Tribolium castaneum: one gene and its partner. The main gene of each other region encodes a partner of the protein of the gene in region 2 in a complex. Links are inferred from orthologs where the notes say so. Each region holds a gene or a part of one and is shown on either strand. Other genes may lie near its edges. The genes, in order: Non3 and ribosome biogenesis regulatory protein homolog.

Region 1 (4,479 bases), on a different chromosome or scaffold from region 2:
TATTTACATTGTTATTGTCAGTTGTTCTCTTTGCTGCTCGTTTGAGTTTCTTTTCGTCGGTGGTTTTTTTCAAGCCCTTCATTTTGCGGGTTTGGATTTTGTTGATTTCTTGTTTACCGACGTGGATGCGTCCGTGGGTTGTGCCCAAGCCGTCAACACTAATGTTCTTCTTTTTGCTCACTTTGAGTTCTTTAGGTTTGCGCAAGGCTTCTTTCATTAGGTCTTCGCTGGGGAGTTTGCTTCGGCGAAGGCTGAGGTCTATTCTGGGACCTGCAAAAAATATTTGATAATTTCTAAAATTCAAAAAAAAAGAAAACACTCAAAAAATTTATAAAGAAAAAAAATCGTCAAGTTTATTTCTTTATATTTCTTTCAATATGTTCACTTGGAGATTTTGCCAGAAAAAAATACGATGTTTAATGTTTATTAGGGAGATTATTTATTGTACAATTACAAATAAAAAAATTGTAAAATTGTCATTTTTTTGGTGCAAAACTGTATGTATTAAATTTAACTGTATTATTAAATCAAAATAAAAACTTTAACCACAGCTTTGACGAGAATTGAGGTTTTTTGGCTCAACAAAATTAGAAAATTCAATATATTTTTTTAATATGTGTTTAAAATAATAAGATATACAAAAAAAATTGACCGATACTGAGATGTGACTGATTGTGAATTTTTTTATCTGAAAACGTTCAAAGCTTAAATAAAATATTTCTAGCAATCCTAAAAAATCTCGTAAAAAACGACGTACAAATAAAACGTCCCCGTCCTCGATAGTTCGATTAATGCCGCCAGAGGCGCAGTTGTTCTATTACCGTCTGTTTTCAGAGCAATAAATTTATAAAAATTGTAATTAAATAACGGTTAGCACAAGGCAAATAAAAAATACAGGCAGATAGAGAATCAAATTCTTAATAATATGAGATAAAAATAGTGAAAAAATTATATCTTAAACTATATTTTAAAAAATTTCAAAGTTTTACCGATTTGCACTCTGCCCCATATTTTTCAAAACGCTGCGAATACGGTTACAGATACAAGAAAAATGTTCAGAGGAAAGTTGTAGAGAATTAAATTTCCTTTAAAAAAGTCCCCAAGACCATATCTCTATCTCCAACCATTTAGGCCCCAAAGTCATTCAAAGGCGCTCAAGTGTCGGATTTCCGTCATTTTGCCGATGGTCAAGTATTGGAAAATTTATTTATAACTAAACCGTTGGAGATAGACATATCGTGTCGCGGACTTTTTTGTAGAAAATTTAATTCTCTACAACATCGTGTCTTTCAATTTTTTGCATCTTCAACCGTATTCGCTGCGTTTGCAAAAAAAACGCAATAATTCTAAGCGATAATTTTTTGGACACCGTCGCCTATTTATCAAAACGCTGCGAATACGGTTGAAGATACAAAAAATTGTAAAAAACGACGTTGTAGAGAATTAAATTTGCTACAAAAAAGTCCGCGACACCATATTTTTATCTTCAACGGTTTGGGTATAAATCCACTTCCCAAAACTTAACCACCGAAAAATTTAAGGAAATCTGTCGCTTGAGTGTCTTTAGGGCCTAAACCGTTGAAGATAAAGATACGGTCTCGCTGACTTTTTTAAAGCAAATTTAATTCTCTACAACTTTCTTCTGAACATTTTTCTTGTATCTTTAACCGTATTCGCAGCGTTTTGAAAAATACGAGTCGAAGTGCAAATTTTTAATTTTAAATAATTTTTTTCTCATGTTTCTCATGAAAATTTTAGTCGTCAGTTTTTCTCAGTGTGTTGAGAATGCAAAGCTCAACATTTCTGTATTTTTTTCCAAGTAATTAGTCAACTGGTTGAATTTAAATTAATTTAAAACGATTTGACACACGATTTGAGGCGCCCTCATTTTTCCACTGCCGTACTACATCTTTGGGTGCGATTTTTTATCTCGTTTCGTCTCCTAACTTATAGTCCTTCGTAGTTTTGTAATTGTTTAGAAAAACAAGCAACTTGACTTATTTTCACGAAGCTCACCCATTTCTTCAAGTTCCACCCGCGGCACCCGACACCCCGACTTCTTCATCATAACTTTGTACGACCTAATCAAAATCTTCCCTTCTGGCGTAGCAGTAAAGCTAATAGTGTGCTCCAACCCTTGCAACCTGACTGAATTAACCTCCTCCCTGTGAAACATATCAATGAACAAACTCTTGAGATGTTTCAACACTTCAGTCTCTTCCCACGCCGGCCCGTTGAACACGAGACAGGGCTTCGTCCCGAGCGCTATTTTCGAGCAGGCAAAGTCTTTCATGAACTCAGCAGCCTCCACATGCAGCTCCACCATATCCAGCAGACTATAATTAAACATCCTACCAATGACTAGATTGTCCGGCCTTTTTTTACTATGTGAACTCATAACGAACAGAGACGACTCATATTTCTTACAGAACGCCTCCACAGGAGTGGCATTTTCAAAAATCGTTATATCATTTTTCTTGTTGAGCATTTGCGCCTCCGGCTTCTTCAAATCGTACAGATCTTTCGCCAAACGGCGCAGTTTCTCCGACGAGCGCCTGCCCTGGAAAAAGAGCGCCTTCTTGGGGCCCTCAACCACTTGCGGCTCTTTCTTCAGGAGCACCTTTTTGCCTTTACGTGTGGTCGCCTTACTGCAAATTGGGGCCCGCGTGAGCGGAAATCGGGGCAAAGGGGGCTTCTACTTACACCACACGCTGGATTACAACCATTTTCACTAGTTTTTGCGCTTATTTTCACGGTTTTTTCAGTGTAAACTTGTCCACACGTGTTGGAATGAAAACTAACCCTGCTCCAACCGTACCAACCTCACGGGGCAAAACCAACGTTTTTGACGAATTTTGCAACAAAACGGCCAAATATTCACATGAAACTGCGCCAAACGATAGAAACCAAACCGGAAAATAAAGCGGATTTAATTCGGTTTTAAAGTGGGGCCTAAAACGCTATTTATTTTAAAATTTGCAACCGCGAAGTTTAGGTTGGTGTGTCTGGGGTTAAAGGCGCCAAAGTTTAATCGTTAAAAACTTAAGCCGTTCCGTAAATAATTACAGTTTTTTGCAACTGGTTTTATCTTTAGCCTCAGATTTATTACCTAATTAAGGGATTTTTGAAAAATAAATAACTGTACCTAACAAAGAATTGTTTTAAAATCCATTACTAATGGCTATTTAAAATAGATAAACGTGCTGTGACATTGAGTTTAATAAAACTTGGCAATTTTGGATCTTTTGTGTTACAATGGACGAGAGCAAAGAGTTAGAAAATACACAGGAAATTGATCAATTTATTGAAGGTAATAAAAAAATCACTCATAAATATGTTTAACGTAACATTTTTTACCAAAAACTTTAGAGTTTTGTTTCTGAAATCGTCCGTAAAATAGTACTTTTCAGTAATCGTCAATTGTCATTGAAATCTCAGAAATGTTTCATCAAATGTGAACATGCGTAATGTTGATTGCCTAACGTTTCAAAAAACCAAAAAAAAATTAATTAAATTCAAGCAGTGCACTAATTACTTGGAAAAAAATGCAGAAATGTTAAGCTTTGCATTCTCAACAGACTTAGAAAAACTGACGACTAAAATTTTCATGAGAAATATGAGAAAAAAATTATTTTGAATTTAAAATTTGTGCTTCGTCCCGTATTTTTCAAAACGCTGCGAATACGGTTAAAGATACAAGAAAAATGTTCAAAAGAAAGTTGTAGAGAATTAAATTTCCATTAAAAAAGTCAGCAAGACAATATCTTTATCTTTAACGGTTTAGGTTTTGAAGACGTTCAAAGATGCTCAAGCGACGGATTTCCGCCATTTTGTCGGTGGTCAAGTATGGGAAAGTGAATTTATACCCAAACCGTTGAAGACAGAAATATGGTGTCGCGGACTTTTTTGTAGCAAATTTAATTCTCTACAACGTCGTACCTTTAATTTTTTTGTATCTTGAACCGTATTCGCAGCGTTTTGATAAATAAGCGACGGTGCCCAAAAAAATTATCGCTTAGAATTAGTGCGTTCTTTTTGCAAACGCAGCGAATACGGTTGAAGATACAAAAAAATGAAAGGCGCGAGGTTGTAGAGAATTAAATTTTCTACAAAAAAGTCCGCGACACCATATTTCTATCTTCAACGGTTTGGCTATAAATTAATTTTCCAATACTTGACCACCGGCAAAATGGAGGAAATCCATCGCTTGAGCGTCTTTGAATGGCTTTGGGGCCTAAATGGTTAAAGATAGAGATATGGTCTTGCGGACTTTTTTAAAGGAAATTTAATTCTCTACAACTTTCCTCTGAACACTTTTCTTCTATCTGTAACCGTATTCGCAGCGTTTTGAAAAATATGAGGCAGAGTGCAAATTGGTAAAACTTTGAAATTTTTTTAAACATAGTTTAAGATATAATTTTTGCACTATTTTTATCTCCGATTATTGAGAATTTAATGCTCTATCTGCCTGTATTTTTT
Region 2 (4,389 bases):
TCCGAAGATTTTATTAGATTCTCAAATACACCCCGATTCCGTAACAGTAAAACCTCTACTGTTAGGAACCTTATCCAGCGCACAAAACCACAATTCTCGCCCACTTCGATGGGCCAAAACGTGTTTGGTTATATACAAAAGTCACTCTAGATTATATACACACTTCCAGACAAAGAAATTTGTAAGAAATGGATTTTGAAGTTGCGTCAATTGAAAGCAACCGATACAACAGTGAAGAAAAACCGAAACAGTTTCTTCAAGTACTTCCTCCAAGTCCTCCACAAGGCAGTCCAAGGTGAAGATTATCTCGGCCCTTCTCCACTCGACACTAAAGTAACAAATCGTCTTAACTGAAACAAAAAACTGATTTGTAATTTAAGGCTGACGAGAGCCGAGGCCGCGATTTCATGTGCCGCTGGTCGAGCGATAAGCGGACTTACGTGGCGGCTAAGCCCCTCCCAGGCGAGGGCACTCTGGTCTACATGGCCGTGTCGAAAGACCCGAGTCTTGGATGGGAAAAACAGGGAGAAACAATCTATGTTTAAACTCACCTCTAAGTAAAAATATACAATTGGAACAAAACTAGCGCCGCTTCCGGCCCCCGGCGGCTTTGCCCTTTCGGGGCCGGTTCGTGTTTTTCGGCTTCTTGCCGCCTCCAGACTTTCGCAGGCCTTTCTTGCGCCCAGTTCGGTTTTTCTCATCAGATCTCCTGGGAAAAAAAATATATGAATTTTTTGGACCACCGACTGAGTAAAACACTCACTGCGCTTGTTCGTCGTTTATTTGTCGGGCTACCGCTTTTTCAATATTTATCTTCGGTCGTTTGTTCAAAACCTCGTCTACGAGATTTAGGTTTTGGTTTTTCTCGTTTTGACCCGAAATTGGAGGTAATTTTCGTTTTCTCGTCGCTCCGGGAGTGATAGCAGCGACGCCTCTCGCCTCCTTCTCCTTGGGGAGCTTGTCTTGGAATTTTCCCAGACTTGCGGTTGACGATTTAGCCACTGTTACCGCCGCTTGCAACTAAAAATCAAACATTTTGATTTCGAAAACAAAAAGTTAATACTTTTTATGTTAAAGGTTTTAACAAAATTCCAAATTTTTTATTCGTATTTAACAAATAAAAACTAAATTGTTACTATAGACAGCTCACAATCAAAGGCAGATAACATTACATCCGGAATTCCCACAAGGCTCAATTTTGGGACCATTTCTATTTTTAATATACAGCTCAGAAATATCAGAATTCGTAAATTATGTAATTATTCAGATCATATGCAGGCATCCATTTAAATATTATAAAAACTATTCATCAAAACTTAATGAAATTTGGTATATGTTCGAAATTATGTAAATTCTATCGTCTCAGATGTGTATCAAAGTTCTGTCGTCATTTGTTCTGGGGAAACAAGGCTAACTTGATTTTTTTAATGCCAATATTATATTATTCTATTATTTTTTTGTTGTTTCTTTTGTTTGTTTTTTTCCATAAAAGTTTAATTTTTGGTTTTATACAAGTGAAAAATCGCTCATAACAGTATTTTAAAAGCTAGCTTAGTTTTACTTTTCCGGAAATCCAGAATTAAATTTTTGAATTTTTATTTTTTTTACCTTTTTAAGGTTCAGAAAAAAATTTGACAAAAACTCCGCCAATCTTTTTTGATGCTTTCCAACTTTAACTATGGCCTTATTATTTGTCACTCATGTTTAGATCTATAGTTTTTTCCAAAATTGTTTTTGCTTTTTGTTATTTTCTTCTTGCTTTATTTGCTATTATTTTTTTAGAGCAATTTTTGTCAATTTAATTTATTCATTTATTCATTTACTTCTTCGTTTCTTAAGGGAATTAAGTTCAATTTCGCCTCCCGAGTTGTATTTACGGTTCGAATAAAGACGGCTTATTGTTATATCATTATTATTAAAAAAGAAGCAACTACTTTAAACGTTTAATAAAACAACACAAATTCACGTATTTTTCAACTTGGTGCAACACTTAAATTTCCGGCCGTACACACGATAAAAATACAAAAACTCACGTCTTTTGCGGACGAAACCTCAGGGTTGGTGAGCCCGAACCTGGGCACTTTCACATTTTTCGCTTTGGCGACGTTGCGCAGCCTTTGCAGTTCATTCTTGGCGACTTTTTCGCTCTTAGCCTCGACTTTCTTGGCGAACTGGTCTTCCAAAGGGTCCGCATTTTGTGGCACTTCAATCAGCCAGTCCTTCTCCTTGAGGGCGGCGCTCCGTTTGAAACCATACAGCGGGATCCACTTTTGCAGCTGCTCGTCCCAAGACAACTTACTCTTCTTTTTCTTGACTATGCCCTTGGCTTTGGCGAACTGCTCCCACTTGGTCAGCGGCCTGGGCCTCGGCACGGGCTTGAAGCGCGGTAAACAAAACTTCTGCTTGGGCAACTTCGCGACAATTGCTTCGTCTATCCGCTCCGTGGGCAACTCCCAGATTTGGTTAAACAGCAACTGGGTGTTATCCCGAGTCAAATTCAGTAAATAATCGTTGGTGGAGCTCCTAAAATTGGGTCAGAAAAGCGTGCTCAGCGGACCCCAAAACTCACCTCAACGCGCCGGGATCGAGCGGGTTCAGGTCTTCGGCCAGCAAGGCGCCTAAATCGATGCTCACCAACTTGTTAACTTCCACTGATTTGTATTTCTCGGCCTCTTTGGCCGATTTTTCCAAAATTGTTTTAACAACATCCATGTTGTTAAAACCTGTCTGGGGATTCTAACCTCACTTGCGACAAAACGGTTACACGTGGAGCGAAAATCCCCAGATTCGGCTGGCGAACTGACACCTGTCGCTGACAAATGTCAACCAATTTCAAAATATTTTGCCAAAATCTGGGCGTTTCTTTGTAAAAATGTGATCGTGGTGGTGCTGAGTCATGCCACTCGCCGAACCTTTGCTTTTTCTGCTCAAGCTGGGCTACACCCTGCGTCTCAAGGTGCCCCTCTTTATCCTGTTTCTGTGCTTTTTGCTGGATATAAGGATGCAACTCAACGTCACAGTCCAGAGGATTGAGATCCCGAGGAACGCGGTCCCGGACCCAGACGAAGACATTTAATGTAAAAGAAATATTTTATTCATCAGACTCAATACACTAATAAAAATCAATTAAAAAACACTTTGCTGTAAATGCAAATGTAAATGGAATATCTCGCTACAATAATTTAACAAGGAATTAAAACAACGTACAAATTTGGCAGTTTAAATGCTGGTGTTTGTCCTCATTCGTAACAAAAGAAACACACTTCTAGAATTCCATCTGAAACCGCCACTTGATTAGAACGGGAAAAACCGCAACAAACAACTCACTTATACAGTTAATTACAGCTAGAGCTTTCGATTGTGACCTCTTGCAGGATTTCTGCAAGAGGCCGACTCTGGCCTTCCCTCGACGGCTGCAGACTCGCACACCCATGGCTCGTACTCAGCGAATTCTGGGGAATTACAAGCTGTCAGATTGGCCCAACCAACTGTGGGACCCTAACTAAGTCGTGCAACTATTTGCCCAACTGGGCATTTATTTATAAAACGTAATAAATGTTTAATTGCTTTCAATAAATGCCCAGTTTCTTCTAAAATCCCAACTACACAGACATACAGACGGCCGACTCCTTAGAAAAAAATATCCACTTTCCCACACCTGTCCACCGTTCTCCAATTTTTTCAAAAGGGCACACGTTTCGACACAAGAATTAAAATTCGCGCCATCTGGACGGAAATTAACTCAACCGAGCTTTTTAAGTTGGCCATCTGTGACTAGAAACCCCTAACACGAAATTAGTACTCCTATGTCCTACCTATTAGTAATTTTAATCTATTACGTGTCTATCTGCTATGACTAAAATCCTGCGGGAATTAGAACTAGACGATAGAAAAAAATTCATATGCCATTAGTGTAGACACACAAACAACACCACGTCCCGACTTACTGCGACATTGTGAACAAACGCTTTGCAGTGTTGCCAGTACGAAATGTCTCGCCTTGGTAGGTAGTACCACCCAAACAAAAAAAATTGAAACAAAAACTCAACCCCCACACTTAACTAACGCAATGAAATTACCTTGTGTAGCGTACTCTGCGGCGCCACTTTTAAGTGCACTTTTTCGGCGCATAACGCCTTCAATAAGTTAATCCCTTCCTGCCTGTTCCTCTCAAATCGGCACTCCCACGCATCAAACAGCCGATTATAATACCGAACTTCCATGAAATTCAAATACTTGTGCGTCTGCGAGGTGGGGAAAATCCTCTCGAAACGCCCCTTAACACACCACTCGTCTTCGGCTTGCGTCAACTTTCGCACATCATCGCCAGTCAATTCGGCCAAAATATCGTCGAGGTAGTCGTGTCGTGACTCATACTGTTCGAAAAGT

Evidence for each region.
Region 1: ribosome biogenesis regulatory protein homolog (region 2) and Non3 share a complex: the UniProt entries of both Homo sapiens proteins name them as parts of the hexameric 5S RNP precursor complex. The link is inferred for Tribolium castaneum from reciprocal best matches to the Homo sapiens genes RRS1 and RPF2.

What each region holds. Positions count from the first base shown.
Region 1 is NC_087400.1:407,838-412,316, forward strand, and holds the start of Non3 (ribosome production factor 2 homolog), read right to left. Parts: upstream 2,859-4,479; 5' UTR 2,727-2,858; coding exon 2,704-2,726; intron 2,649-2,703; coding exon 2,017-2,648; intron 271-2,016; coding exon 1-270. Other genes in the region: organic cation transporter protein-like, read left to right, coding at 3,256-3,310. UniProt on the Homo sapiens protein: Involved in ribosomal large subunit assembly. May regulate the localization of the 5S RNP/5S ribonucleoprotein particle to the nucleolus.
Region 2 is NC_087399.1:2,010,147-2,014,535, reverse strand, and holds ribosome biogenesis regulatory protein homolog, read right to left. Parts: upstream 2,939-4,389; 5' UTR 2,713-2,938; coding exon 2,570-2,712; intron 2,524-2,569; coding exon 2,034-2,523; intron 1,021-2,033; coding exon 764-1,020; intron 710-763; coding exon 583-709; 3' UTR 568-582; downstream 1-567. Other genes in the region: uncharacterized protein LOC103314109, read left to right, coding at 170-333, 381-545; tubulin monoglutamylase TTLL4, read right to left, coding at 3,346-3,452, 3,948-3,999, 4,080-4,389. UniProt on the Homo sapiens protein: Involved in ribosomal large subunit assembly. May regulate the localization of the 5S RNP/5S ribonucleoprotein particle to the nucleolus.